4 linked regions of the Notamacropus eugenii genome follow. The protein of the gene in region 3 interacts with the protein of the main gene of each other region in a pairwise test. Links are inferred from orthologs where the notes say so. Each region holds a gene or a part of one and is shown on either strand. Other genes may lie near its edges.

What was found.
Region 1: the proteins of MTUS2 (region 3) and TSGA10IP interact in binary tests that used the Homo sapiens proteins (3 or more experiments, as listed by UniProt). The two-hybrid records come from large-scale screens. The link is inferred for Notamacropus eugenii from reciprocal best matches to the Homo sapiens genes MTUS2 and TSGA10IP.
Region 2: the proteins of MTUS2 (region 3) and CCDC60 interact in binary tests that used the Homo sapiens proteins (3 or more experiments, as listed by UniProt). The two-hybrid records come from large-scale screens. The link is inferred for Notamacropus eugenii from reciprocal best matches to the Homo sapiens genes MTUS2 and CCDC60.
Region 4: the proteins of MTUS2 (region 3) and PPP1R18 interact in binary tests that used the Homo sapiens proteins (3 or more experiments, as listed by UniProt). The two-hybrid records come from large-scale screens. The link is inferred for Notamacropus eugenii from reciprocal best matches to the Homo sapiens genes MTUS2 and PPP1R18.

What each region holds. Positions count from the first base shown.
Region 1 is NC_092873.1:18,636,288-18,644,565, forward strand, and holds the start of TSGA10IP (testis-specific protein 10-interacting protein), read left to right. Parts: upstream 1-5,147; 5' UTR 5,148-5,162; coding exon 5,163-5,330; intron 5,331-5,745; coding exon 5,746-5,873; intron 5,874-5,955; coding exon 5,956-6,411; intron 6,412-6,565; coding exon 6,566-6,732; intron 6,733-7,356; coding exon 7,357-7,486; intron 7,487-8,278.
Region 2 is NC_092875.1:25,967,408-25,975,154, forward strand, and holds the start of CCDC60 (coiled-coil domain-containing protein 60), read right to left. Parts: upstream 3,349-7,747; 5' UTR 2,707-3,348; coding exon 2,629-2,706; intron 1-2,628.
Region 3 is NC_092876.1:197,081,812-197,089,602, reverse strand, and holds the start of MTUS2 (microtubule-associated tumor suppressor candidate 2), read right to left. Parts: upstream 3,458-7,791; 5' UTR 3,368-3,457; intron 1-3,367. UniProt on the Homo sapiens protein: Binds microtubules. Together with MAPRE1 may target the microtubule depolymerase KIF2C to the plus-end of microtubules. May regulate the dynamics of microtubules at their growing distal tip.
Region 4 is NC_092873.1:84,556,278-84,564,147, forward strand, and holds the start of PPP1R18 (phostensin), read right to left. Parts: upstream 3,356-7,870; 5' UTR 3,273-3,355; coding exon 3,264-3,272; intron 3,025-3,263; exon of another isoform or gene 2,939-3,024; intron 2,727-2,938; exon of another isoform or gene 2,708-2,726; intron 1,796-2,707; coding exon 122-1,795; intron 1-121. Other genes in the region: NRM (nurim), read right to left, coding at 4,963-5,244, 5,678-5,854, 7,337-7,533.

The sequences.
Region 1 (8,278 bases), on a different chromosome or scaffold from region 3:
GCCAGTGACTTAAGAGTGGTGGTCAGCATATAGGGGTACAAAGGCTTCTCTGGACACACACACCCCTGCCCCCAGAGAGGTCAAAACCAGAGGTATGTGATGGCGCACAGTGAGAGGACAAAGGTGAGAGCATTGCCCATTGTCCAGGCCAGCCCCTTCCTCATGTTACAGATAGAGAAACAGTTCCAGGTCACATATCACCTGAATTTGAACCTGGGTCCTCTGGCCTCAGCTCTTTTACTCTTTCCCATGCAGAGCTAAAGCCCGATTGAAGATGGCGAGGGGAAATGGGAGGGCAGTTTTGAACATAATTGTTAGGGTTGATGGGTAGATCTAGACCCTGACAGAAGACCCTGTCTTCCCCTGCTCTTTCCCTTGTTCCCCCTCCCCAACCTGTCTGCCCAGGGACCCAGCTTGGGGTGAAGGGAGGAAAACAGGAGCTTCATCTTTAAGTGACTGCTCTGGGCCAAGCCCTGAGGACACACACAGTAAGGGAAGAGGGATTTTAATAACTTTTAGTGCCCACCCTGGGGAGGGGTGGGCTTTATGGTATGCAGATGGGGAGCGGGAGGGGCCACCCTACAACACCCACCCCACTGCCCTTTGTTTCTATAGGCCTTTCTATTTCAAGATACTTAAACAAGACCTGAAAATACCCCTATCCCCACAGGTCGGTAAAGCCCAGGAGTGGAGCTGGCTGGGTTCTGGGCCTTCACCTGCACTGACTCTGTTAGTGCCCTAGAGAACATCTAGGCCACCCCCTCTTATTACAGATGAGGAAACTGAGGCCAGAGATGTGAAATGTCAAGGCAAATGTCCCATGTAGCCACACTGGTCGTAGCTGCTCTCTGCAGACAGCCTTCAGAGGTTTGCAAAGCATTGTAAATGTCCTAATATTTCTCCCTCTACCACCATAAGGCAGCAACTGTTCTCATCCCAGTGACTGGTCAAGAGAAGGGTAGGTCATGGAGATGGGCAGCATCTTAGTCAGATTAGGTCCCAACAACTCCATTTCCCACTTTCCGTCCATTTGTCTTGACCCCTAAGTAGAAGGTGGCTGTAACCCAAAGCTCTCTGGGGCTCCCCTTCTTCCAGCCTCCTCCCAGAGGGCAGTCCCTTAAAGGTCCTCCCAAAGTGAGTTATGGACATGGTCCTGTCTGCTGAAATTCACATGTTAATAGTAACCAGGGGAGTGAGGCAGGAATCACTGGGCACGTCATCCTAGATATAGTTTAATCACCCCCCCCACACACACACACACTTTCTGCATAGAGCCCCTTTGCGCTCAGTGTGGCAGAATCTCCAAGTTAGGCTTTCCAAATGATCTAAATACCACATGCTATTGAGATGCTTCAGCATCTTGGCCGCCCACCCCCTGCCCCACTTATACCCCTCTACCACCACCCCATCTCCCGGACTCTGTGCACTTCAGCATGGTCATAAGATTTGATGCCTAGAATGTAACCCAAAGAGTATCCTAAGGCTCTGCGACAAGGAGTCTTAGAGGCCACTTATTTGATGCCATCATGTGATCAGACTCCAGGTGGGTTCATGCCTCTTAACAAGACCTAAGACTGCTTTGCCATTCTTGGCTATTCTCACGTTATTGGGTCATTTGGAGCTTAATGTCCACTAAGAACCCCAGATCATTTTCATAGGTTCCCAAGAGCTTTCTGGGCTCACAATGTCCTGAGGTTCTTCTGCCTAGACAAGGTGAGACTTGAGCTAGGTCTCAGTACCAGCAGTACTGGGCTTGATGAGAAGAAAAGGGAGGAGAAAGTGAGGCAGAGTGGAGGGAAGTGGAAGCAAGCAGAGCCTACAGAGATCAGGCATGTTTACAGGCTGGGCCTTCTGGCTTCTAGAAGTTTCATCCCATCGACTCCAGGAGTCAAGAGAGGCTCCAGCTTTGTAGGAGCTGAAGGTGTGCGGGGAACAGTCTCCCTGGGCATCCCAAGAGTTGACTCTGGCTCATTGCCCAAAGGAAGCAGAAGCAGTAGGTGATCCCAGCACCCTGGGACACTAGGCATTTGGAATCCCTCTCTCCCCATGGAAAGAGGAAAAACATGGAGGAGGTGGGGTAGATGGTCCAGCACTCAGGGTCCTGAGCAAACTCAGATGATCACAGGAAGCCAGGACTTGAAGAGGCCACCAGTCTGCCCTCCTTTTACAGAGCTGGTGACTCTGAGACTCAGGAGAAAGGACTCACCTGGGGTCCTACCTCCAGCTCCACCCTAGGCCAACCCACTCCAAGGCCATCAGGCGAGGCAATGCTGTGGGCAGATACAGATTTGTTTTTTAAAAAATAAGTTTTTATTGATGTCAATTTTTGGAATCAGCATAATTTCTCCAGGGGACACAGTGGATAGAGCACTGGGTTTAGAGTCAGGAAGACTCATCTCAATGAGTTCAGATCTGGCCTCAGACACTCACTAGCAGTGTGGTCCTGGGCAAGTCACTTCACCCTGTTTGCCTCAGTTTTCCTCCTCGGTAAGATGAGCTGGAGAAGGAAATGGCAAACCACTTCAGTGTCTTTGCCAAGAAAACCCTAAATGGGGTCACTGAGAACTGGACACACCTGATACGCCTGAACAATTTCTTCCAGTATCCCTTCTCCTGGCCCCACCCAGAGAACCATTCCATGTAACACTATTTTATAAAGACAAAAAAAAGGGGGGGAGGGAATCAGCCTAACTGAGTAATACGTGCAATAAGGTTGACACATGTCGCAGCATCGCCTCTGCAGAGGGGGAGGGGAGGGGAGGGGGCTTCCTGGGCCTCGGCTTGACAACATTCACTTGATTTTGGTGTGCAGTTCTCTCCATTTCTGTTGTAATTGCTGCGTATGCTGTTTTCTTAGCTCTGCCAGCTCGCCTCTGCGTCAGTTCATATAGATGTCCATCTTCCCATGTTTCTCATTTAACATTCCATTCCATGGATGCACCGCACTGTGTTTAGTCATTCCCCATCAGTGGGTACCCACTTTGTTTACAATTCTTTGCTATCACAAAAAGTGCTGCTAGGAATATTTTGGTATATTTGGGGACTTTCTTCTTATCAATGGCCTCCTTGAGGGGGGTCTCATCAATTGACTCTGAGTAAATCAGCCAAACTGATTTAGCTACTGGGAAACTCCAGTAGGAAAGGCACTCACATAACCTTAAGGGGGAATCTGGGAAGGCTTCAAGGAGGAGGTGACCTTTGAACTGCCTGCACAGGGCAGGGTAGGGAGGACATTCCAGGCATGGGGTGCTGATCCTCAGTCTCCTCTGGAAAAGCACCTTGGAAACTGGGTAACGAAGATAGTCATATCCCAATTTTATAGATGAAGAAGCAGGCGCAGAGTTCATTATATGATAGGATCATAGGTAGAGGGAAGGGACCGTAAAACCTCGTACTGCATATGTGGAAACTGAGGCAGAGCGAGTCATACAGATCCAACTTCAAGTCTAGCTTGCTGGGCCCTGCACTGCACTGTCTCTTGATGAGAGGCCACAAGGGGACACCACAGTGCACTGGGCCCTGTGAAGAAAGGGAAGGATTTCATAAAGTCAAGTTCACCTGCATTAATTAAGCCCATTGTGTACTAAGCCCTGAGCTAAACACAGGATGATACAAAGAGAGAGTTTTTAAAGAACCCCAGCCCCTGCCCTCGGGGAGCTACCACTCTAAGGGTGGAGACCATGTGAATAAACAAGCTACATACAGGCTATATTAGAGACCACCCCAGAGGGAAGGTCCAAGATTAAAGACCATGGAGAGATGTTTCCTGGAGAAGGAAGCCAGAGGGTGGAGATAAGGAGAGTGTCTGTGGCATGGGGGACAATGCCTGGAGTCGGGAGATGGAGAGGCTTGTTCAAGGAACAGCAGGTGAATGGAGACATCAGAAAGGAGGAGTGGCCAGTGCCTGTGACCAGTCAGGAGGGAACATCGAGGAGTCCAGCTTGGTCGGAGTATCGAGTCTGTGACCAGGACTTATAGGCTTACAAAGTCAGAGCTGAAAGTGACCTCAGAGGTCAACTCATTCAGCCCCTCCTATGAGAGGCAGTGACTGAGCTGGGTCTTGTGGATGTCGGTTCACTCTAATTTCCTAACCCTCATTTCTGTCCCAAAGCATCATGGGCAGCCTTAAGAAAAAGGTAGTGACCTCCCCATCACTGGAAGTCTCTGAGCAAAATTTGTATGCCTCAAGGAATGCGGTGCTGGACTGGGTGCCTCTGAGAATCGTTTGGAAACTTGCAAATAGGATTTTCAAGGGCAAACGGGAGGAATCCAGGCCGGTGCATACCAAGCCATTTCCCCTCATGTGGGGTGGGAGCCTCCAATTTCCCAGACAGAACCTTGGACTCCCAGAGCTAGTTGTGGGGAGAGCATCTCCTCTGACCCCATCAAACCTTTTGTACACTCAAACTTGCTCATCCTCCTCTTGGGCCCCTTTGAAGTCCCCCCCACCCCCAGCTCCATAGAGAGTTACCAGCCAGGCAGAGACCAGGACTCACACCTCTAGCTGCTGTAACCATGGGGGGGACAGCTCAGAGAGCAGGGACAGACCAGACAGACCAGGGTCCCAGGCTAGGCAGAAGTATAACCCAAACAAAAAGATCCCTATTTCAGGGAGAGGGTGTGGGAGCTAGAGGGGACCTTAAGTGATCATCTTGTCTGATTCCCTTATTATACAGGTGGGGAAACTGAGATCCAGAGAGAGGAAGGCCCTGACCCTAGACTGCAAGGGTTCTTTAGCCACCACTTAGACACAGGACGGTGCCATGGGAAACCCTGGGAGTCAGAGGAGCTGGGCTCAAATACTGGCTCCTCCGCTTACTGCTCATGACCTCCTCTGAGTCTGAGTTTCCTCCTTTGGCTGTCAATCTCCTGAGCTGAGGGTGTGCCTACTATGTAAGACCCCATTCAAGGAGATAGAGAGCAGGTTCCGGTCAGATGCTGCCCTCACAAAAGTTACAGTACAGGCTACTACAAATGGCCAGACACACAGCAAGACATTATGACATGATCAGGGAGGACAGTTGCCCCGAGGTGCTTTCAGGGGCCAGAGTGCTCTCAGAAGCCAGGGTCTCACAGGCCAGGTAACCATGCCTCCCCAGAGGCCTGTTGGTCTCCATAGTGATGATCCAGGACCAGGCTTGTAGAAGTTCTGAAATAGGGGGATGGGGCAGAAGAATACTTTGCTAAGAACCCATCAACAGTCAATTCTGGCTGCCTCTGTGGTGAAACCTAACCAGGATGCCCGAGTCCGGGTCCCTTCAGCCTCATCTGAAAAGGGAACAGCCACTGGACTGCTGGGACTCCTTTCTGGGGTGCCTTTGGCCCACCAAGTATGTGGCTTCTAACTGCCAAGACCCTAGAGCTTGGAGACAGGATGCCTGGTCCACGGAGGCGCAGGGGGAGGAGTGGCAGAGGGTCCCCTAAGGGTTAAGGGCTCTTTAAGGCAGGGAGGATCTGTGACAGTCTCTTCTTCTGAGAAAATCCAGGGATCTCTAGGTCCTGTGGCTTCCCATGTGTATGATGAGGTAATTCACATGGGCAGAATGAGTCAGAAGGCCCAGGATGTCATTGTCTCCCAGACCTAAGATTCTGCTTGACTGTAAGAAGGCTCTTCCCCTTTCTGGACATCAGCCGCTGACGGGACTCGTCTCTCCTCGCCTGTGGGATGCAGGGCACATGCTGTTCTGGTCTGTGCTGGGCAGGGATGCTGGCTATTCACTGGGGCTCCGTCATTCCCCCCTCTAGAGTGCTTTTGGGAGTGGAGATGGGGTGCTGATCCAAGGCCGACCTCGGGCCCGGAGTGCTGGGAATACCAGAAAGAAAGACGCATCTAACAAAGGCAAGAAGAGGAATGAGCCCTCTGAGGCTGAAGAGTGAGTAACTGGGGGTGCAGGGAGGTGACCCGGGGCTCTGGGAGGCTGACATTCTGACTGGCGCTTCTCTCCCCATCCCCAGCCTCATCCCACCACCTCCTCGGAAGCCCTCCTTCCCGTTCCAGTGGGCCTGGGAGAGCTTCTTGGTGGATGGCCGGAGCCTGCCCCTGCCTTCCTCCAATTCTTCCCACCAGACCCAACAACCTCAGGGGGCCCCCCAGAAGGCCCAGAGGGCCAAGACCTCAGCCTTGCCCCCTGCCAGGGCTCCCCAGAAATCCCGGTTGAAGGCCATGCCCCCATCTGCCCAGCCGGCCAACTTCCCACTCTACTGGAAGATGGAGGCCCGAAGTCAGGACATGAAGAGGCAGTTGAAAACCTGGCTTCACTCTGAGCTGGACAGCCAAGAGAGCCAGGACAGCCAGGATTATCAGGATGGCCAGGAGCTGGAAGGGCAAGAACAGGATGGCAGGGAGGAGGAGTGGCCTGAGGGCAGGAGGGAACTCACCACCTGGCCCTCTTTTCTGTCTTCCAAGGAAAGGTTGGGGTTCCAAGCAAAATGGGCCCAAAGGCTAAGGATGGTGGGGGGAGCCCAGGGTGAGGGGAGGTAACTACAGCTGGGTGGGGGCAGCAGAGGGAGAGGAGAGAGTGGACAGGGCCTTCAAGAAGTTCATCTGTTCCCTGCCTGTGCCCAGGAGCAGAGAAGATGAGAGAGGCCAGCTGAGGAAGTGGAAAGCCCTCCATCTGGCTGGTTTCGCCCTCCTCAGAGGATTCCAGAGGAAGTCGGCAAAGTCCAAGGACCCAGAGAAGCTCTTAGATATGGAAATTCTGCAGAAACACTTACAGGAAGATGAACTCTACAGTAAGTCATGCCCCCTGCCAATGACTCCCAAGCCCTCTCTGGCCTTCAGCTCACTTGTCAAAGGAGGAGTTTGGGGTTCTTCTGTTTGTACTGTGTCAGTGGATAGAATGAGCAGCCCATTAGCCAGAATAAACATTAAAATCAGAATTTGCCAGGCAGCACCCCCCACTTCACTTTATACTAGGGGGTCCCTCCCCAGCCTGGCCTTCCCACTCCCAGAAGTAGCCTCCTGGTTTCCCACAGTCTCTGGCCAGTGTCCTGAGTTAGAGGCTCTCCTCTTCACCACTTATTGGGATTGGTCTCAAAAAGTTGAACTGAGAACCTTTCGTGCTGCTTGCTTTGAGAGCTATGACTTCGAGTTATGGCCCTGACACCCAGGATCTCTGACTCCAAACCCAGGGATATCCCCTACCAGGCTGCACCACCTGCTTAAGAAAGCAGAGATATATGGGCAACATTGTGGGATTATGTCCATTCCAAAGGTTATTGTGCTTAAGAGGCCAGCCTCAGTTACCTGCATACCTCCCTTACTTAGAACCTCCTGGCCCCTCTGCACTGGGGTAAGGCATTGGGGGAGGATGGGGAGTGAGGAGGGGTTCCTGACTTCTCTTCCTCTGTTGTCAGACTCCCAGTGGCCAATTCAGGATACCACCCATCCTCAAGGCGAGAAGGTACAGGCCTGGGAGGATGTCAAGCCCTTCCTGACAACTGGTGGCACCACCAGAACCTTCCAGATGCGACGAGAGGCCACCAGGTACCTGTCCCCCACCCCCATCCCCTACCCTGGGCTGGGGGTGCCTTCCCCTAGATCATTCCTTCACTGGCTGTCTAGACTTTTCACTGGTTGGTCCATCAACAGGTTCAGGTTATACACAGAGGTATAATACGCCCACAGTGGCGGTTCCTACATCACTGAATCACAGACTCACTTTCTACCACCTGTCATCTATAATACATAGGTACACATGCATACACACACACACACACACACACACACACATGCAGAGTGAAAAGACAATAGTGTAGACAGAGATGGAAGAGACCTTCTACCCTCTCATCTCATAATTAAGGAAATTGAACCCTAGAGACCTAGAGTAACTTGTCCAAGGTCACCTAGCCAGGTCCTAAACCCTAAAAATCCCAAGCCCTTCTGGGGCGGAGGTTGGGCCCATTAGCAGTCCCTTGATGGACATCCAAAAGCTGCACCAGGGTCATGATGCTGTGGCTAGAGGCCTCAGAATTCTGAAGGAATTCACTTGGTGGGCTCTGCAACCAAAGCAAAGCTCACATGATGAGCTAGAACTGCTGGGCTGGGGGACCCCCTGCACCTGAGGAAAGCAGACAGCAGGGCAGAAGGAAACGAAGACTGTCCTGAGCCCAGTCCAGTTCCCATCTCAGACCCTTAGTGGCTCACAATAGGTTTGGTCCTTGTGCCCCAGTGCTGAGCAGCCCCACTGGACTTCATTAGAACATGGTGATGGTGGAAGCCTGTTTCCCCATCTGTAAAATGGACACAGTAATATCTGCCTTAGACGGTTGGGGGGAG
Region 2 (7,747 bases), on a different chromosome or scaffold from region 3:
AGGTGAGACAGACTTTCAGTCCCTAGAACTTCTGTGAAGTATTAAGGGAAGAATGAGTAACTGTGAATATACAAAATATCCCAAAATGCTCTTGTTCGCAGAGCTGGGCAATGAGGTGAACAAAAGTACATGTTAGTACTCGGAAGAGATAGATAAAGGGATATTTGTAACTACAATATACAGGGCCAGTGAGTTTTAAAATCTTTCTGGTTACTTCCACTTTGCAAGTCTGGGAGTATTCAGTTACCTTTAAGTCAACTTTCCTCTAGTGTTATAAAGAGACAAGACAAGGAGCTCTGGCCACTTGGAAGAGCAGTGGCCAGTTGAGGAAGAGTTGCCTTGACTCCTAAATGAGTCAGCAAGAGGGGGAGAATGAAACACAAACATGGCATACATTCACATACGTCTTTCTTTCTCTGTCTCTCTCTCTCTTTGTCTCTCTCACACACATATGCACACACACAGGATAATGATGACATGCCATTAAATTCAAATCCAAATGTTTCTATTCAATCAAAACCAATATTAACCTTTGCAAATGATATATATTAATCTTCAGAAGACCTATATAAAAGAAGTCCCTTGACCTCTGAGGTCCCTTGCTGCTCTAGATTTATGAGCCTATAAGCTTTATATAATCAGGTAATGTGTTTTTATTTCCCTGTTCAGATATCATCAATATCATCCATGCTTCCACTCTTCAAAGATCTCAGATTCCCTCAACATAGATGGTGTTCTACCACCTCCTGCACCCCATTATGCCTTAGGTAACAGTCTTTGATTACAGCTTCACTGGATCACAGAGCTGGAAAGAACTTCAGCACCTGAGTCATCCAATCAGTAGCTGAGCAAAAATTCCCCTTTATGACATATCCTCCGTGAGGTCATCTAGCCTAGGCTTGAAGCCTTGCAGTAATTTCTTAACCTCCAGCCCAATCTATTTTTGGACAGCTCTAATGGTTAAGTTTTCTTTATATTGACCTGCCTCTTTGTAACTTTGTAATTTCTGTCCACTATTCCTACTCATGCCCTCATCTGCAGCCAAACAGAACAAGTTGCATTCAGGCTCAGATGGTCCTTTGTATATTTGAAGATAACTATCAAATCGTCCCTCCTCTGGGCCTTCTTCAACATAACAGTATCATGATAACAATGTGGCACCAATAACTGGTACCCTAAATGTGGTATGACCAGGGCAGAGGACAAAGAGAAGCCACCACCTCACTAGCCCATATACTACTCTCCTTTTAGTGAGGCTTAACACCGTATTAGCTATCATACTGTTGACTCCTAGTTGAATTTGCAGTCCACTAAAATGCCCAGATCTTTTTCACAAGACTTGCCCCTACCTTATGTCTTTGAGATCTATTGTGGCCAAAAATGGAATCACTTTGTGTGGCCAAATTGTTGATGAACCTTGTGGTGTAGTGGAAAGAGTGATAGATTTGCAATAGGAGATTGTGGGTTCTAATTTTGGTTATGACACTATCTGAGTGACCTCAGGCAAGTCATTTAATCTCCTTGGGCCTCAGTTGCTTCATCAGTAAAATCTATGATCCTATTATCCAATAATGAAGGGGTCTGCCTGCCAAATCTCTGCTGATTGGACCTGTCATGAGTATCATCTCCATTTGGGAACCAAGGTCCCCTCCATATTGGAATCAGACTTCAGTGGGGTTTTCTATCATAAGATGAAAGTCTGATGATTTTCTGCCTCTTATTTAAAATACAGTGGAATGAAATACTACACAGGAGTGAAGGGGCAAGTACATCAGTGTCTACAGCCCTGAGAGAGCCACCCCAAATAAAACGTCTGGGTGAACTTCAAGTGGGGCTCTAAATCAGGTCAATCAGCAACAGTTAGCCAATATGCATTTATTAAGCACTTACTATGTGCTAAGACATCTTGCTGAGCAATAGAAAGACAAATACATGCAAAGAGAAGGGAACCATTCCTGAGTAATGAGTCCCTTGTCTAGACCCTACAACACAGTGTTCATCCCTAGCTCAAGACCCTTTCACATCTCTTTTCCACTGCCTATCCCAGCAAATCTGAAGAGATCACAGGGGATTGAAGATGTGAGCTGAAAAGGACTTAGAACTCATTTTTGAGGCTCAGAGAGCTGAGGTCACTTGTCCCAGGTAACAGATAATAAATGGCAGATAGAGGATATGAACCCAAGTCCTCCTCTAAATCCTACACTCTTTATGCAGGCATTAAGGAAAGGGAAAAGATGGTCACTGTTTTTCCAACACAGAGATTACACCCAAGCTGGGTACTCTGGCTACCTCTGTGCAGCGGATCTCTGGAAATAATTTCTGCCATGGCAAACCTACAATTTATCTTAATTTTTCTGATGTTCGACTGTGTCACTGCTGATTCATTCCATCATCTCAGAATTATTGGCTAATATGATGGCCTGGCGCACTGTTCCGGCTGGCGCCTTCATTCTTCAGACGAAACCAACCATTTATATCTATGCGGATGTGTCTCTACAATTTAATTACAACATGACTTTCCTCTTCCCTCCCCTCCCAGTCTTACCCTCCTTGGCTAGTCTATTCAAACAACAATTTATATTACATTTTGTGTCCCCCTTAAAAATATGGTCGAGAGGAGACACCTACCTGAGACAGCTGCCCGGAGCCCTGATAAGGCTTAAGAGCCTCGCTGGGATGAATATCGAAGCTCTTGTTGACGGGCATCTTAATACTTGTTCAGGGTCGAAGCCCTAAGGTCCCCTGGGGCCAGAGGCCAGCCAGTGGCTGGGGGAAAGTCTGGGGGAAGGGGGGGGGGGGAGAAAGGGGGAGGAAGGATAACCCAGTTCCTCTGCTCTCTTTCAGTTCACAGTCTCTGGAACCTCAAACCAGTTGGTAACCAGTGTGAATGGGATGGGAGTATGAGAAATAGGTATAGAGAAATATATATTGTATGTAGATATATACATGTGATATATGTATACATGTAAATGAAGTTGAAGGAAAGTAATTAGAAATGTCTTATAGGAAAATAACAAAGGATTCCTGCTCTGTCTTCTCAAGGGATTTGTGTTTTTCTCTCATTTACAAAGAAAAGTAAAAGAGAAAGTGGGGGAAAGGTTAGAGATAAAAAGGAAAGGAAACGAAAATGGGGGTTGGTAGCTAAATAAAATCTCCCTTGAGCTGAGAGTTTCCCGAGTCCCAACTTGGGTAGACAAGTCAGGCCCGTGGATCACTACCCGTTAGGATGAATTCCCTTCCCGAAACTGGACTTTCGGGACGTCTCTCTCCCCAAACCTTCCTCTTTCCCTCAGGGAACCACGCAGCTTGATTGCAGAGGCCGCGGCTTCAGCCGGAGTGCACCTCGGTTGCTCCCAGCAACAGAGACGCCATCTGGGGCTTTCTCATTGGCCAGTGGGGCGGGGGCGATGCCGGCCACGCAGCAGGGAGGGTGGAGGGGTCCATTAGAGGACGGGGGAGGGCCAGGACGTTCTGCTTGGCTGCAGAGGTCTGTCTGTTCTTTCCGAGGCAACCCAAGGCGGGCATTGTTGCTTGGACCTCCCTGTCCACAGAGAAAGAGCTATTTACAGGATCCTAGACTCAGAGCTGAAAGGGAGCCCAGAGGCCATGAGTCCTATCTCCTCATTTTACAGAGAAAGAAACTGAGGCAAAGTCACCCGGGGAGTGAGAGGATTTGTCTGACCAAGGTTAAAAATACTTTTTAAAACACCCAGTGCAAGCGATCTCATTAAGCCTCTACTTGAATAAAAATAGCTCATTTATATGTATATATATGAGTGTGTGAGTGTGTGTGTGTTCACATGCATACATACATATACACACATATCACTTCAAGGTTTGCGAAGGGCTTTACCTTGCTATCCCACGTGTGGGAGAATCTTGTGACGGAGACAAAAGCTGTTATTATCCCGATTGTCAGCGTCAGGAAATAAGATTCAAAGAAGGTAAGGGACTTTGTTCGGGATCACACACCTGATAAATATGTGAGGCTGGATTTGTAATCAGGACTTCCTGAATTCAAGTTCAGAAGCACCACCTAGCTATACCACAGTGTAGATATCCAGGGATGGGAGGCTCTCCACTTCTGGACAGCTCTGATATTCAGAAGGTTTACCTTCCCTCCGGCTCCAAATTGTCACTCCTTAGGTTTCATCCTTTACTACTGGTTCTGGCCTTCAGGGCCAAGCAGAAAAAACCTAATGTGGGCCCATGTTACTGTCCTAAAATCAAATTCATATCATCATGTAGACAACTGAATTATATTTAACACGCAATCTTGGTGTGGGAGTCCGGAGACCTGATTTAGATACTAAATCACTGAGTGATCTTGGGCAAACCACTTTCCTTCTCTGAGGCCAGGATGTTCATCCACATAATCCTGTTTACCACATAGATTTTTGAGCCTCCTTGTTGTTTCCCCTAGAAGACTCTCCATCTCATGACCAGGTGTTTTCTCTGGCTGTCCCAGAATGCTTGGAACTCTGACCCTCCTTTGTCTCCTGGCTTCTCTGGCTTCCTCCAAGTCCCAACTAAAGACTCAGCTTCTACAGGAACCCTTGCCCCATTTCCTTTAATGTTAGTGTCTTTTCCTCCCAGATTATCTGCAATTTATCATGCCTATGTCTTGTTTGTCTACAATTGTTTCCATGTTGTTTTCCCCATTAGACAGGAAAAAAGCTGGGACTTTTTTGTTTTTCTCTGTATTCCTGGCATGTAGTTGGTGCTTAATAAATGCTTGTTGATTGAGACTGCTATGATAATGTAAAATGCTTAACCATCTAGGCACGTGTGTAGTCTATTATCAATTCTAAGGCGTGAATCGATTATTTAGGCAGCTAGTGGGGCAGTGGATAGAATGCTTGACCAAGAGGCAAGAAGCCCTGAATTCAAATTTGACCTCAAACACTTACTGGTTGTGTGACCCTGGTAAGTCACTTATTCTCTGCTTCAGTTTCCTTATCTGTAAAATGAAAATGAAAAGATACTTTGCTCATATATAGTGCTTATAAAGTGCTATATAAATCTTATATAGTGTTTATAAATATTTTATGTATATATATACATACATATGTGTGTTTCTATATGTACTATTTCAGAGTTCCGTAATACTTATTACTGGGGGGAGGAAGGAGTGAATTTAGACATCATTCTCATTTTACAGAGGAGGAAACTGAGGCACAGGGAAAAGATGTTACTTGCCCAAAGGCATTTATTGATTTAGGGCCAGGGTTAAGATTAGAATTCCAGCCTCTTGACTCCTAGCCTCAGTATTAGGACTCGAAAATCTTAGTTTATTTGTGTAAAGTATGAAGCTTGGGAACTGGAAATACAAACTCCCTCCTCTTCTTTTCCATTTGCTTAAATAAAGCATCAGAAGGAATTAAAAATAAACCTATCAAGTTGAAAAATATTTCTGGAATATGTTGGACACCAGCTGGGATAGCTAAAGAGAGATTTAGAAATCTGGTAAACACAACCAATTCAGTCAATGGTACATATGTTCAGCATTAAAATCCTATCGGAAGGACATTATTTTCACAAGTCCCATAATATGCTTTGCCGTGTGGCATCTTGAACCCAGAGATTTCTGTCTGGAGGATTTTACAGAAATGCCAGTTTGGGCTTTACAAATTACAGGGCCCACGGCAAGGCTCAGACTTGGGGTTCCCTTGATATCAGCTAGTTGGCAATCTCTAGATGAATCCGTGCCAGTAATAAATACCATTGGATAATGGGCATTTTCACTACCTAAAAGGATTAAGAGGTGTAAAAGGATTAACGACTGAATCCTGCTGTGTACACCCTGGAGGTTGTAGGCTCTGAGGACACCAAGTCCCACTCTCCTCCCCCCAGTCTGCCCGAGTGATAATAATGATAATCACAACTTACTGGTGGAGTTACTTCCAAGACTTTCATATCCATTATCTAAAGCTAAAAGCAATAATAATAACAAATAATGTTAGTGAGCATCATTTCTATACCACTTTAAAATTTGCCAAGTGCTTTACAAATTTAATCTCATTTGATCCTAGGTGGAGCAGTGGATAGAGCACTGGACTTGGAATCGGGAAGACTCATATTCATGAGTTCAAATTCAACCTCAGGCACTTCCTAGCTGTGTGACTCTGGGCAAGTCACTTCACTGTTTGCCTCAGTTTCTTCACCTGTAACAAATGGCAAACCACTCCAATATCTTCACCAAGAAAGCCCTAAATGGGGTCATGAAGAGTTGGACATGAGTGAATAACAACAACAAAATCCTAGAAAGTAGATCTCTATTTTACCGACAAGGAAATGTAGGCTGAAAGGGGTAAGTGGCCTTTACAAGCTTATGTAACTAATAAGTAGTTAAAATAGGATTTGAACTCAGAAAGTCCTCAGTGCAGGCCTAGTACTCTACTATTTGCGCTAGGTGCCCATAACTACTAACACATAGTAGACACTTAAAATACTCATTGACTGACTGACAAATTCAGTAAGCACATGTTAAATACCTACATATAATATATATATTTATAAAGTATGCTTATATATGTATACTATTATATATGATAGACACATATATGTAACATGTATACATATGTATATATACAAACACACTCATACATTGATAATCATTTAATATCGTTTTAAGGGTCAGGCTGAACTAATCAATCAGAAGGACTTGGATGGAAGAGCGTCTTTGCTCTCTTAAGCAAACTCAGAGAAATACCTCTTCCTATGTCAATAAAGCCAGATGGGGCTGACTTCAGAGAATTTTCCTCTGTTTATGGACATTAAGAATGAGACCCTTAAGCAGACACTACCTTGAATAATGGAATTTTTTCTTATCTTAATTTTTTTTGGCATATACTATGTTATGGCACATTAATGATAAAGAGAACACAGATATCCTGGGTCATAAGAATTGACACTTTTTTAACTCTTATTTTATTGTATTTACCACCTATTCAATTAAGAAAATTCCTTTCTTATAATATAGTTAAGCATATATGGAGATCAGAAATTTGAGTGACATAGACACCCTGGGCTGGGATTGTTCTAAAATATATTTAAGCTTGGTCATTCTATTATCAGATAGCCAGAAATTATGTTTGAATTCCATGAAGCATGGGTCTGCTAGCTTTAAGGGAATTAACAATATGAATTTATTGTGTATGTTTATATGTATGTATATATATATGTATATCTAGCTAGGTATCTTTATATCTCTCTAAATGTCATCCATTTACCTTTCTACCTATCTATTCATCTAGCTTCCATCTATTTATCTGTCTCTATCTCTCCACCCACCTACCCACCCACCCATCCATCCATCTATCCATCTAATCTGTCTATTGATTTCTCATTTCTGTGAGAATGTAATCCTTGAGAATAGGGAGTGTTTCATCATTTGCATTTTCAGCACCCACTGCTTGGCACAAAGTAAGTGATTCATTTGTTTGTTGATTGGTTAATTGAATGCACCTTGCTAGGCACTGGAGTTAAAAAGATAAAGTGAAATCCATTCCCTGCCCTCAAGTAGATTCTGTTCTGTTATCTCATTTTACACTCATAATGGTCCTGTGGGATAAGGTGAGCAGAGATAATTTACCAAAACAGAACGAATTCCCTTCCCCTCTCTGCTTCCCTCACTATTCCCTATGCCTGGAATGCACTCCTTCCTCTTCTCTGCTTCTGAAATTCCTGGAATCCTTCAAGGTTCTCAGCTCAGTTGTTGTGGTCTCTGTGGAAACTTCTCTTATCA
Region 3 (7,791 bases):
GGTCCCAGTCAATTTTGTATTAATCAAGGACAAAAAAAAAATAAAGAATCTTCTAGTATACCTTTGGTACTTGCTTAAGCTCTGTCTCTTCCAAAATTCTCTTTTATCTTTCTCTGAGATGCGGGAGAGCCCTAATTACATTATTTCCCCACTCCCAGACCCTCATCTCAGTTTCCCTAATGCACACCTTCACATAAAAGTCACTTTCAGGGCAAAATCACAGGCTCATGATCTTGTTCTCAATGTTATATTGTGATTTCATTGGCTCTGCAGGGCCCTAAAGCTTGTTATCAGTCTGAACATAGTCAGATCAATGACAATCTGGGTCAGGTTTCTGATTGGTCTCTCCAAAGCAAAAATTAGGAAAAGAAATCAATTTTTTAAACTTGCTCTTCCTAACGATTTTAATTGACAGACACAAAAGCCCAAATGGCTTTATACATTAGCATTGAAATCTTTAGAAAAGGGCTTACACATATAATGAGACATACTTATGTAATCTTCTAGACCAGTAATTCCCAACATTTTTTTGTTCCATGAACCCCTTTCAACAACAACAAAAATGTTTTGAATCCCCAAGGTAATTTAATATACTACTCATAATATTCTTCACAACTATTTAGTGCTTAAGGAATCATTAAAAAAAATTTGAATGCAAACTCCTTGGATCATTGTTAAGAACCTGGATTCATGAACAACCCAAGGGGAACCATTATTGTAGACATTGTACTTATCTCTCCACTTACAGAAATAGTCCTCTAATTTATTACAGTATTGGGTCTGGTCAACTGACACCAGGCATCCCTGTTTCCCTATTTTTGACTTTAATAATATAGTTTGCTGGCAGTTACAAAATAGCCAAACCTGAGTTTCATAAAATACCTTCAACTCAATCATACCTTTTACCTAAGACTCCACATAAAACATTTGCTGAAACCAGACACAAAATATCTAAATCTAGAAGTGTTAGACAAAAATTATAAGACAAAGAAGTTTTTTGCACCCCACTCAACTGTCTGTGCTATTTTATATCAAAGGCAACAACCAGTTTTATATTTGATAGAGAAAATAATGAAATGCTTAATGACTATTGGTTATGTTATTTTGTAAGCAAATAAAAATAATTACACTGCTGTCTAATCTGTCACTGATGTCTCCAAAAATTAAAAGAGACTATGGCATATTCAAGTTTTAAAAGTCAGATCCTGAATGTTGGAAAGAATTACAAGTTACAAGTATTTCACTGAAATAAAGATCTAGTATATTTCCAAAAAGACTACATAAAAAGTATATGTAACAATTCTTCAGTTGTCCTTTGCAAAACTTTATTTTATCCATCTTTAATTACTATTGGAAAAGCACAGTAGCTCCTGAGTCAAGAAGGCCTGAGTTCAAGTTCTTACATCTCTAATGCAAACTATCTGTATCAAAATCACTTAACCTTTCAGTGACATGCAGGTAACTAAGTTTATACGTCACAGAGTAAGTGTTCAGCTGCATTAATAAGCAGTTTCCACGCAGGGAGTTCCCTATACCAACGAACTCACATTTCTGGGACCCCCGAAAAAATGGTATCTTTCCTTTCCATTTTATTTTTTATATTCTTCTTTGCTTCTGTAACCAAAGTGAAATCTGTCACACAAAGTAAAAGAAAAAATTTGATCCACACAAACCCACAATTAGTAATAATACAAACTGTTGTGCATCTTATCTGTTGTCTTTTGCCAAGTATCACCTGTTGAATATTTGTTCTCCTGATGATTGCAAGTCAGTCAACAATCCCTGCATAGAACTGGTCACGGTGATGCCTGATGAGATACACTCAGAGCAGGATTGTACAAGTGTGTGGTTTGTAGGGTTTGTATTTCACTGTCTAGCCAGCAAAATACCTAATCTGATTAATCATTAAAAGTGATGAAAAGGAACCAGAAAGTCCTTCTTTTATCTGAATCCACTTTTAGTTGAGTTACTTTAACTAGCAAGGAATATTACTAAATTTCCAAAAATAGCCTCTAAAAAATGTTATCAAAAATTTTTGAAAACCTTGTAAGTTCTGAATTCTGTTTCTACCACTATCATGGTAACAGTCAAATAATTTTTACCCGACTTTGCGACTTATTGAACAATATCTGTTTCATTTAATTCTCCTAAATGCTTTGCACTGTTATCTGCTTTATGCCTCAAGTATTCTTCCCACGGTTGAAATGCTGTCTAAAACTATCCTATACCATCTTAAGAGAGGACCTCAAGCTAGACGTGATCACCCCTTCTGGCACGCTTTTGTTTTGAGGAAGAAATGTTCTTAGCTCTTCTCTCAGCTTCCCCCTAGAGGCCTCGGTGATCACTTTACATTCTAACCAATGAGCAGGTATTTTTAAATGTACTTGCATAACAGTGAGTATGGGTTTCTTCTGGTATCCTGCCAGACACACTTATTCCCCGTTTGTATTTAAAATAGAACGGTAGTACCATCACTCTCATGTGCCAGAAATCCCTTCTGTGCATATCCTCCAAGCTAAATCGTATGTATGTATGAAAAATAAAATAGGTCTCATTATAAAGTTCAAAGGACTTAGCATGACCATGCTAAATTAAGAGTACGGCGGCAGACTGTAGCATCCCAGGCCGGGAGGACACTCCAGTCTTGGAACTAACCTATCCCACCCTTAGGAAATCCTTGTGTTACCCAAACAGTCAGCACGTGTGTGCCCCATATAGCCATATATGCTTCGCAATCGCCGACACCATTCAAGAGGGAATCAAAAAGCTCCTGCATCTCAGTTATCTGCATGCGGGGTGCACAGGGCAATTCTTCTTGCAAAGGGGAAGGGAGGAGGTGCCTTATTTCGGGGTGGGGGGAATGGGAAATGCCTACTATGGTCTAAACTGTTCCCTCCCACACCCATGAACGTGGGAGCCAGGGCCAAAAATAAAGACACAGCCCAGAAGATCCCCATCGGTTACCCTAGTCTTAGCAATTCCAGAAGGAAGCGAGGAAGATGTCCAAAACTAAGCGCACGACGACACTTAATTAGGCTGTAGCCAAAAGCTAGGACCCGGACCCCCATCTCCAAGTGTTTTCCAGTAGTTGGGGGCTGGAAGGAGGCGCGGGGTCTTGCTGAGGGTCCGAAGTTTCGGAGGGGGAAAAGGTCATTGCGGGTGCCCAGGCAGAAAGAACTTGCCAAGCGGTCCAGGAAAGGAGGGGCGAGCCGGGAGAGGGAAAGGAATGGAGCCACACCTGGGCTGCACTTCCAACAACTGTCACCACCAAACACCTCCCACGCATCCCACACGCAGATGCCGAGCGGAGGCAGCAGCAATCTCGCAGCCGCCCTAGCGTCAGCCCGACTCCCCACCTAGGACTCACCTGTCCGCGGGTACCCCCCGAGGAAGCTGCGGCCGCTCGACACGGGTCTCCAGGCGCGCGGCGCAGAGCCCGGGAGAAGGGGCGCAGAGCGGTGGAGGGTTCCGAGGATGCACCTGGTGCCGCAGCAGCAGCAGCAGCAGCAACTCCCCCTCCTTTCTTCCCTCCCTCCTTCCTTTCCCCGGACAAAGAGAAGCAGCGGTAGAGGTGGAGGCGGCGGCTGTGAAGCCGGCGCCTGGAAACGTGCGGCGGAGCCGGTGTCTCTCGCTCCAGATTTACTGCCCTCCCTTACAGCTTGGGGAGCGGGCGGGAGGGAGCGGGAGGCGTGCACACCCCCACAACGCGGCAGCAAGCACGGAAAGCAGAGGGCGCCTCCAGCCACCCAGCGGTGCCCAGGGCTTGCTGTCGGCTGCAGCCGCAAGCCTGGAGATGAGCGAACAGCGCCCTCTGCAGCCCCCAAACCCCCGGCGATGGAAGCGTCGGGAACAGCGGCCCCCCAGGTACTTTGTGTTTTTTAACCCAGGCACCTAAAAGCATGGGCGTTTTCATTCGCACCTCTTAAGCGCTTGGGGATCCTGGCCTGGCCCTCTGAACTGCAGAATATTTGTGTCCCGACAAAGGAGAAAATAATAGAGGCTCTCCTAGTCAGGCTGTGTATGCAAGTGTATCACTATCTAGGATGTCAATATCAACTGTAATTAACATTTAGGATAGAAGAGGCGGTAAGTTTAAATGCTAACCAGAAGAATTTAGATTTGGCACTAGGAAGAACTTTAGACTAAGGTTTATGAGAGGCAGGAACGTTCAGTGAAAGGATGACTTGTAGTATTATTAAATATTGTTAATAATACTGTGTTTTATTCTGCGTTCCTCCTTCGTTTTCGAAGAAGACCATGACATCAGAGAAATAACGACGTGACTTGCACTTGACTTTGTTTTGAGTGAGGGAGGGCTGTGCATACTTTATGCCTCTAGGAAAATATAGGAAGAATTATGTGTATATTCTTTTCTTAAGCAGCTAAAGATGCTTACACCTCATCTGGAATACTGTGCTTAGTTCCAGGCATTACATTCTAAGCATCTGCTTAGGAAAAGAGTACACAGGTTTTCCTACTATGAGACATAAGTCCCTCTGCAATAATCCAAAGGGTCATAGCAACATAGATTTAGGGATGGAAAGGATCTTAAAAGTCCAACCCTCTCATTTTGCACATGAGGAAACTGAGGCCCAAGAGGAGAAGTGAACCACCCAAGGTTATAGCAGTGATAAGGAGCTCACCCAGATTTTTAGTTGATTCAAAATCCAGTATTCTTTTCACTCCACTACCATCATCTCAACCTTCTCCTTTTAGCTGGCAGGGCTAGGAACACAATATGGCCACACTACTCAGTTTCTATTTTTGAACCGTTCTATAAAGTCATTTCTAATATTAAGCCAAAAACCTGACTCCCTATAATATCCAGATTCTGTTCTCTGGATCCAAGCAGAATCTCCTTTTACCTAAGCTTTAAATATTTGAAAATAGTCACCATGTCACCTCTGAAATCTAAATGGTCCCCAGTTCTTCCAGGACATATTTTCAAATCTCTTCCCCATTTTAGTTGCCTTCCTCTGAATCCAATTCATTTTGTCAATGTTCCCCTTAGAATATTATACTTAGAACTGTATTCCAGATAAATTCTAACAAGGGACAAGACCACTGAGCTGACAGCTCCAACTTTCTGCACAATAGAATTCTATTATTACCTTTCACACCTTTTGCTTGACACAGTACCCCTATTTACTCATCGACCTGACTAAACCCCTCCATGTAAAACAATTTTAACAATCATTTTTTAAAACTTTGAGTTCCAATTCTTTTCTTCCCCCCACCCTGTTCCCTCCTTCTTTCTTGAGAAGGCAATTTGTCATGGATAATACATGTGAAGTCATGTAAAACATATTTCCATTAGTCATGTTACAAAAGAAAAGACAAAAATAAAACAAGAAAAATAACGTGAAAAGGGGTATGCTTTGATCTATATTCAGAGTTCATCATTTTTCTCTCTGGATGTGGACAGCACTTTTCCTCACAGGCCCCTTGAAATTGTCTTAATCAGAGTTGTGAAGTCTTTCTGATACTATGCACAATGTTCTCCTGGTTCTGCTCACTTCACTTTGCATGAATTCATTCATGTAAGTCTTCCCAGACCTGGTAACTGTATTGTTGAGTCAGAGATTACACAGTTTTATAACTCTTTGAACATAGTTCCTGTTGCTCTCCAGAATGATTGATTAGATTAGTTTGCAACTCTACCAACAGTGCATTAGTGTCCCAGTATTTCCACTTCCCCTCCAGCATTTGTCATGTACCTTTTATTTCATATTAACCAATCCAATAGGTATGAGGTAGTTCTTCAGAGTGGTCTGAACTTTTATTTTTTTAATCAGTAGGGATTTAGAGCATTTTTTTCTTCTGAAAACTGCTTGTTCACATTCTTTGACCATTTATCAACTGGGGAATGGTTCTTATTTTGTTGAATTTGATTCAGTTCTAGTTCTCTATATATTTGAGAAATGAGGCCTTTATTTAAAAAAATGCTGTAAATTTTCCCTCAATTTCCTGTTTTCCTTCTAAATTTGGCTGCATTAGTTTTACTTTGTGCAAAAGCTTTTAATTTCATGTAATCAAAATTATTTATTTTACTTCCCGTGATCCTTTCTATCTCTTGTTTGGTCATAAACTCTCCCTTTATCCATAGATCTAACAGGTACATATTTCCATGCTTCCCTAATTTACCTTATATCACCTTTATGTCTAAATCATTTATTCACTTTGGTTTTGTTTATGTATATAGTATTAATGTTGGTCTGTGCCTAGTTTCGGCCAAACTGCATTCCAGTTTTCCCAACAATTTTTGTCAAATAGCGAGTTCTTGTCCCCAAATCTTGGATCTTTGGGTTTATCAAACAATAGATTATTATGGTTATTTACTTCTCTGTATTTGTACCTAATCTATTCCTCCTATCCACCACTCTGTTTCTTAGCTAGTATCAGATTATTTTGATGATTACTGCTTTGTAATATAGTATGAAATATGGAACTGCTAGGCTGACTTCCTTTACATTTTTTTCATTAATATGATATTCTTGATCTTTTGTTTTTCCAGATGAATTTTTATTCATTCATTATTTTTCTAGCTCTATAAAATGATTCTTTGGTAGTTTGATTGGTGTGACACTGCATAAGTAAATTAATTTAGATAGAATTATCATTTTTATTCTGTTGGCTCAGTCTACCCATGAGCAGCTGATATTTCTCCAATTGTTTAGATCCGTCTTTATTTGTATAAAAATATTTTATAATTGTGTTCATATAATCCCTTCATTTCTCTTGGCATGTAGACTACCGAGTATGTTATATTGTCCGAAGTTATGTTAAATGGAATTTCTCTTTCTGTGTCTTGCTGCTGGACTTTATTGGTAGTGTATAGAAACAGTGATGATTTATGTGAGTTTATTTTATAGCCTTTAACCTTGCTGAAGTTGCTAATAGTTTCGACTAATTTTAGTTGATTTTCTAGGATTCTCTAAACATACCATCTGCATAATGATACCATATGATATGATGCCATAATGATATGATACCATATCATCTGCAAAGAGTGATAGTTTTGTTCCTTCATTGCTTAGTTTTATTCCTTCAATTTCTTCTTCTTATCTTAGTGTTTCTAGTACATATTGAATAATAGCAGTGACAATGGACATCTTTGCTTCACCCCTGATTTTATCGTGAAGTCTTCAAGTTTATCCCCATTACTGATAATGCTTACTCTTGGTTTTAGATAAATACTACTTATTTTAAGAAAAGGTTCATTTATCCCTATGCTTTCTATTGCTTTTAATAGGAATGGGTGGACCCTCAGCTCTTTTTTAAATGATCTGCTGTCAGGCCAAAAGTATTCATTCCTATGCTTGTGGAATTAGTGTTTTTGAAACCAAGTATAATTCTTTACATTTATTCCCAATAAATTTCATCCTAATGGATTTATTCACTCATTTCTATCTACCAAGATTTTTTTAGGATTCTGATTTTGTCATAGAGTATATTACCTGACCTTTCTCAACTTGGAAATAAGGGATTCAATTCATTTAAATATTAATTAAGTGGAACTTTGTGCCCAGCATCTTGATGGGCACTAAATTGTTTTGCCTGCACAACTCCATGGTACTCTCACTTGATAGTGCTTTTACTTCCAGCCATATTCCATAACTAGAAAGCTCCTAATTTCTCTGGAAAGAATGAACCTGGGTCTGGAGAAAAACAGATGAACTGACAAGACCTAATGATGAATTATCACAATCTCTAGTTTAATAAAGTTTATATTGAAAGTAGAATGGAAGGTGGAATTTTTCTACATAAATTAAGAAAATGAAATGATTATGT
Region 4 (7,870 bases), on a different chromosome or scaffold from region 3:
GGAAGTGGGGCGAGACAGTGAAATGTAAGGAGAGAGGACATAGGGAAAAAGACACAAAGTAAGGGGCCCAGAGAGAGTTGGTGAATGGGAGCTAAAAAAGGGCCAGGCTAGACTTCCCTACCTGTTTATGGTGTCTCTCAGGGGACCCCTTGGCGAGGCAGCTTCGGCTTAGACGGAGGTAGCCCCCAAGCACCAGTATCTCCTCAGCAGTGGGGTACCGCTTCTTTCCAGGGCCAGGGAGCTGGGGTTCAGGAGGGGCAGGGGCTGCAGGGGGCCCAGAGCGCCTGGGGTTAACTGTGAAGGTGTGTCCACTGCGGCGTGGGGCCCCTACCCCAGGCCCAGGTTTCACTCCATAGAACAGGCGACTCATCAGCGGGTCCCCTGGGGGCTGAGGAGTTGGTGGGGCAGGGGGTAGGGGAGATACTGAAGGTGGTGGTGGGGGCTGAGGTTCTGCTGCTTCCTCTTCCTGCAGCCCTGAGCCTCCGGCCCCAACTTCCTCAGGTGGTGAGGGGGAGGTTACAGAGTAGTGGCTTCTAAGGGAGCTCACCATCCTGCCTCCATCCCCAGCTTCCTCTACAGCAGCCCCTATCCTCCCTTCTTCGGCCTTCAGTGTAGGCAACAGCAACTTCTGATCTCCAGAGTCTGAAGGTGCTGTCTTCTGCCCTTCAGCCTCCGATCTCCCAGGGCTCCATTCTCGAGCCTTCCCAGAGTTCAGTCTCCATTTCCTTACTTCTAACTGTCTAGAACTCTTCTCTACATCCTCTCCTGAATTCAACCTCATTTCTGCTGCCTCCATTACCCCTGGGCTTCGTTCTCGAAACTCACCAGGACTTAACCTACATCTTTGTGTCTCTAAAAGTCCTGAGTTCTCCCTGGATTTCCTCTGCATTAGTCTCTGTTCTGTCCCCGATTCCCCTGATCTCCCTTTGCTTTCTTCTCCTGGGTTGATCCTCCATTCTCGAGCCTCCAACGGCTCTGGACTCTGTTCCAAGACTTCTCTGGAATTCATCCTCCATTTGTGTATCTCTGTCATCCCCAGCCTCAGTTCTCCACGCTCTCCACGGTCTCCTGAGCTCAGTCTACATTCTCCCATTTCAGATGCCCCAGAGGTCTGTTCTTGAGGTTCTGCTGGATTCACATTTCGTTTTCGAGCTTCCCCAGGGCTTTTCTTCCATTTCCGTGACTCTGAAAGGCTGGAGCTCCTCTCCTCAGTCTCCCTTGGGCTCAATCTCCATTCCAAGGCCTCTGCAGGCCTAAGGCTTTGCTCTGGAACTTCTGCTACCCCCAGCTTCCTATCTCCAGACTCCCCCAGGCTCAGCCTCTGCTCTCTTGACTCTTTTCCCACCAGACTCTGTTCCTGAGCCTCTGCCATGCTGGGTCTCTGCTCTCGGGCTTCCCCTCTCCCTGAAATGTGTCCTCGACCCTCAGGTGGCCTCCGATCAGTGAGCTGCTCTTCCACACCTTGCTGCTGCTGCTGCTTTAGCTCTTGGCGTTCTTGGCGGATGAAGCGATTCTGGTGGACAGGTCCAATGGCCTCTAGAAGGACCACAGGCTCATCGAGTTCAGGAGGTGCTGCATCTGTAGCCTCATTCCCAGGACCTGGTTCCCCCACTGGCACTCCTAGCTTGGCACGGCGTCGCTCCAATAGTCCCCGTTTCCAAGCTGGCATCTGGGCCAGTCGATCCTTCTCAGCCTGCTCCCGGCCTCGAACAGCAGCCTCTTCTTGTCTTCGCCTGGCTAGTAGTTGTAACTTCCAATCTGGGACAGTAGCCATGGTCCCAGTGGGGCAAGAGAACTGGAGGGGAGGAGATGGAGCAACGTCAGGGAGAAGAAAGAAGTAAGAGAACTGGAGAATGAAAGTACTGGTGGGGCAGAGGGAGAGGAAATGTGGCGGAGAGTTTGTGTGGGAAGACAAAGTAGAAGAAAGGAAGAGAGAATCCCCTGGAAAGAGGGAAAGACAGGAAGACTAGGAAAGGGAAGAGAACTGCTAGAAAAGAATGAAAAGAAAGGGAGAATCAGAAGAAATACTGAGGAACTGAACAGAAGAAAAGTAGGGGGAGGGAAGAGACTGAGTGATACAATGGAGGGGAAGAAAGCTGGGAGGGAGAAAGGGAGAAAAAAGCAAGATAGAATATTGGGGTATGGTGGAGGATGACAGAATATTTTAGATGAGAGAAGAGAAAAAAGAAGAGAAGACAGTTTGGAGAAGAACCAGGGGAAGGAACCAAGTGGGTGGCTAAAGGGGGAGATGTGGAGGTTAGGGGAACTCCTGACGTGGGGGGTGAAAAAGCGAAGCCATGGTGTTGGGGGGAGGGAGGATGGACACGGAAAAGGGGAGAGGTAAGGGTGCACCAAAGGGATAGGGGAAAGGGTAAGAAGGGGATAAGGAGAGAGGGGAGGAGGGAACTGTGCAGCAGACCTGCCAGTCACAGCGTGGGCCCTAGCGGACTCTAGCTTCCCCTCCAACCTCTCACCAGCCACGCCCCTCCAGTCCCGGGCCACCCCCTCCTCCCCCCACCGGGCCTACGCACCCCGCCTCTTGGGGCGGGTCTGGGAAAAGACAGTACCCGGGGACTTTTGGAAACCAGGCGGCCGAGCACCCAACCCCTTCTCAGAACCCAGATGTCCACTCCTCCCCCTCGCCCATAGCCCTCCTCCCAGTCCGGGGACCCAGATAACCAGCTCTGGTCTGTCCAGCCCTCTTCACCTCAGTTAGGCACCTAGGTGTCCTCCCCCGTCGCCCTCCAGAGTCCCCTGTCACTCTGACCCTGGGAGCGAGATGTTGCGGTCCCTAGCCTCTCTCGCACTCTACTCCTACTCGCTACACAAAGAAAATCTCCCAGGCAGAAGAAAGAGTGGAGGGGAAAAGGGTGGCGGCCGAAGGTGATGAGGGTGGGGACATCTATCCTCGGAGTCTGAACCCCCCCTCCCAACTCACGTACTGGCAGGGTCCCACGGGGGAGGGAGGGGGTTCGAGGTCGAGAAAGCGTCTGGAGAGGGAGAGAAGGAAGAGAAAGAAAGGGAGCGAGGCAGAGTTGGAGATGGGAGGGAGGGAGGGAGGAAGGAGGGAAGGAGGAGGAGAGATAGACCCAAACCAAGGGGGGCCGGGCTGGGGGCGGCGACCGCTTTGTCTGAGGACAATGGGGAGAGAGAAGGGGGCGAGAGGCGGAACTGGCTTCAAGGGGCGGGGCCTCCCGCCCCCAGGACCCCCTAGCTGGCTCTTCTCTGGAAAGCACTCCCAGACGCGCAACCCCCAAGCTCACCGCTCTCATTCCTCTCTGGGACCCAAGTATCCTGATCCTCAACCTCCAGCTGCCTCACTCTCCTTCGGCCGTTCTGCCCTGCGGGACCCAGGTGTCCTTTGCACTCAACTTCTCCCGGGACTCTCCACCCCCCACCCCCAATCTTTCCTCCCTCCTCTTTCCCCCTCCCAAAGCCCCGGTCCAGGGCGGTGGCCCGTGACTCAGGCCCCTAGGGGGGCCCAGGGAGGAAGCAGCAGCTGCTGGGAGCCGTCCTGCCCAGCCCATCTCCCGCCCTCCTCCCTTCTTAGCTCCCAGAGCTTTATTTTTGTAGGGTCGCTGGTCAAGACTGCCGGGTTGGGAGTGGGGACTGAAAGTGATTGGGGGTAGGGGTGGAGCGGGTCTAAGATCAAAGTCGGCGGGATGGGTGGAGACTCCTGCATGCTTGGCTTTGATTTGGTTAGGGACTGGGCTTCCACCTTTCAAATCAGCGGTCTACTCAACCCTGAGATCATCCAGGTGTTGGCAGGCGGGATTGCTAGCGGAAGAAGTAACTATGCCCCCTTCCTGAAGGTGGGAGACTGGGGCATCCTCAAAATGATAGAAGGCAGGACCTTGAGGAATGGCCGAAGCATAGTGGCCACTGGAGGGAACAGTAGCTGTAGTTACTGCAAGCATTTGCTTTCTTTCCACCCGTCATCCCCACCCCCTACTTTGTAGCTGCTGAGACAGTTGGTCTTAGGCCTATCACTCTACTCTGCCCCTCCCTGTTTCAATTCTCCCTTCCATTCTCTAAGGATCCGGAACCAGCTAACTGTCCAGACCAGAGATAAACACTTGTGACCTTAAGAGGCACGTAAAGAAGACATAATATTTGGATTTATTGGCCAGCTTCTTACATGTTCTTTGGGAAACATGAAGGCACTGAGGTGGGGAGTGAAGAGGTTCTTTCCCCGTCCTCCCAACATTTGCTTCAAGGACATAGAGCCTAAGTGGTGAGGGAGAAATTTTAAAAGGAACCTCAAGGACGCTGAGGGAAAGGCTGGACAATGGGGGATAGAGAACTAAGGAAAGGTACTTCAGTCTGGAGGCTGGAAAACAATTCTGTTCTGGGGTAGGTGAAGATATAAAGGAAAAGGAGGGGTCCCTGAGAATGGGGCTGGGGATCAGTGATAGTAGACTGATCAGGGCCAACCTCTTCCCCTAGGATTTGGAGAGGAAAATAGGCAGAAAGAGGTCTCTAGTTGGGGACAAGCCCAAAATCCTCATTCCTCCTTCAGTACCTCATCTCTCTTTCTAGATTGCATTGAGGGGTCCTTAGGTAGGGGAGTGGGATCCTGGATTAAGGGATACTAAATCTAGAATTTGAGTATGGGCTCCAAGTCAAGGAGCTAGCTGTATACCATATCTAGAGAACCCTGCTGAAGTTCACAGGGAGAGAAACTTGGAGTCTAGGAGGTAGAGCTGGGAATTCAAGAGAGACAGAGTTTGGGGGTGGGGGGGAGGCATCAAAGGACCTAGAAGCATACAGCCCCAAGCTTCAAGGGGTGGCCTCTCAAGTTAGAGTAGGTGTGGAAACCTCAGATTCTGGAGTGGAACTTGGAATCCAGAAGACAGATTCTCTAGGATAACTCTTAGATTTCAGGGAACAGAACTTTGAATGGGGAGTCAGGGCTTTAGAGTCTAGGGACAATAGTTTCATCCTAGGGACTAGATTTCACTTTCACTCAGCATCTACATCTTGGGGCCCAGCAAGTAACTGAAGCTTTCTTTGAAGCTGGGCACGGAGGTAGCGCAAGTCTTGCTGGTCTAGCCCATGTGCCAGGCCCAGGTAGAGGGTGAGCAGTGCAGCCAAGAGGATTCTGTCAAGGCCCAGTCGGGGCACAGCCCACAGCACTGTCAGGAGCTCCACACACACAGGATGTCTCAAGTGCTCAAAGAGTCTCAGTGCCCTAGGGGACTTCAGAGCCAATGGCTCCCCCAGCCCCAGCACATGGTAATATACCTATGGGAGAGGGATGGAAGGACATTAGATCAGAAATTGAATCATTATATCCCTTTGCCTCTAATTCTACTCCCTCAATTCCTTATAAAAGGCTGTCTCTGCTCATCTTCCAAGGTTACCTCTTCCATTTCTCCAAGGATATAAATCTAATCCTCCTTCAATCCTTGGGACTAAGGTCTCCCCTTTGAGCCTAACTCTTGGCTCTTGACTCTCCTACAAATCCATGGGAGCTACCATTTCTAGATTCTGGGGGAGGAGTATGAGATCATGGCTCCATGGTGGGGGGGAAAGAAAGGTAACTGGTAGACCGAGGTGAGGGTGGAGCAAAAACTTGTGAAGATTGGTTAGGGATGGGGAGATTGAAGGTGATTCAAGTCTTAGAAGAGATAAAGAATGATGTCCAAAGGTTAGAGGCCCAGGAACTGGAAATTACCTGTTTGAGGCCCATGAGTTCAGGATAGTCAAAAACCAAGAGGATACTAAAAATGAGAAGCCACGCTATGATGTGCATCACGAAGCAGAGAAGGGGTACCCAGGTCACCCAGGGCTCTGACTGTGCTTCCCAGAGAACTGGGCCCTCTGGCACTGGCTCCCAATAACGCATTATCACCTGAAAGAAACAGATAGGGGATAGCTAGATTCAACTCCCCTTGGAGATGTAATCATTTAATATGTTGAGGGGAGGCTCCCCCCTCACCTCCCACAATGCCACAATACACACACACACACACACACACACATCTCTAGCTCCCTGATGGCTTTTACTTCTAATAATTCATGCAGGGTGCTCCAAGACTGGTTTTCAAACCCTTATTAACAAACACAAATGTTTTTTGATGTCCACTATATGTAGGATGCCATGTTAGGTGACGGAATTACAAGCAAGTATTAGATCATGCTTTATTTATTTTTCTTAAGCCTCAGAAGTGGGGGGTAGATATCTCTCACTGCTACTCTAAAATCCTATCTGGATCTCAGACCTTGCAATCAATCAACAGCATTTATTAAGGGCCTACTACATGCCAGGCACAGGCAACAATGAAAGTCTCGTCCATGAGACTCCTATTCTATAGGAGTGAGAAGTACATATAAAATAAATACAAGGGGCTCAGGAAAGGTCTCATGTAGGAGATGTGCTTGAGCTGAGCTTCAAAGGAAAAAAAAGATTCTAGGAGGCATAGGGGAGGAAGCATGGGGTGGGGGTAGGTGGGAGGGGAAAGTTTGTGCAGAAGTCCAGAGATGGGAGGCAGAATTTTGTGTGTGGGGGGGGGTGGGGTGGGGGGGATTGGGAGTAAAAGAAAGACAGAGAGAGAAGGCCAGGCTAGACAGACATAAGCATATGAAGGACAACAATGTAAAATAAGAGTTGGAAAGGTAAGTTGGAACCAGACTGAGCAGGGGCTCTAAATGCTAAACAGGGAATTTCATATTTGATCCTAGAGGTAGTAGGGAACCACTGAAATTTATTGAGCAGGCTAGTCCTGTACTCTAGGAATATCACTGGCACAGTGTGGAAGCACACAGGAGAGAATAAATGTTTTAGCATATTTATAAGATGTATGATCACTGCCCTAGAGGAGCTTACAATTTGGTTACAATATGTATCTAGAGATAAATAATAAAGCAACATATAATTATCAGGCATATATATATCATATGTGATAAAGGTCTATGGCAATATGTCATATTAGAAAAAGGACCTCAAAAGAGGGAGGAGATCAACAATAAAACTATGGTCATTGGTAAAGACTTCTTTGAGGAACTAGGAGATGAAGATCAGGCCTTAAAGGCATATGCAGGTTTTGGAAAAGAGAGGAGGTGGTAGGCATTCCAAGCAGGGGGGAATGGGGAGGAAAAAAGAAGGGGGTATGTTTGGGAAACAATGGGCCTACTCAGTCTACAGTAGGGAAGTAGTGGGAGCTGCAGTTAGAGAGTTTAGTGATTAGAATGTGCAGAGGTTTGAATGCTTCCAGCTCATTCTCTGTTAATTCTCAGTTTACTCAGGAACCCAGGCATCTGGCACCCTCATCCCCAGGCTTTCCTTTCCCCAGACCCTACTTCTCTTGGGGACCTAGCTGTCTAGTCCCCATACCTGCAGGGCCAGGGCAGTGCAGGCCACATAGAGTGACCTCTGTAGGACCCCAAAGCGCTGGGCCATCCATGTCTTCACAGGCTCTGTTGCCATAAGACTGTGCTGCCCCATGAATAACAGCACCAGTCCCAGGTCCTGGGCTAGAGCTGCCAAGATGCCAGGGTCCTGTAGGGCAGTCAGCCATTCCTGTCGAGAATCTTAGGATGGGGGGAGACAGGATATCAAAAGGACAGGGAAAGATCACCGTTATTCTAAATATCTCCTTTGAATCTCAGGCCATGTCCCCTAATTCCTGATGTCACTCAGAGAACCTGTCTAGACCATGCCCCTATTACTCTCCATTCCCCATGATGTGGCTTTACTTCCCATCTCCAGCAATTCCCTTAGGGCTAATATATAGAAAAGGAGTTTTAAGTGATGCTGGCTGAACCTTTCAGAAAGAAGTTGACTGAGAAGAGGATTTGGGAGTTTCTGAGAAGTCTTTTAGATCAAGAGGTTGTTAGTGCCCAGAGGCTTGAAAAACCCCAACCCAAA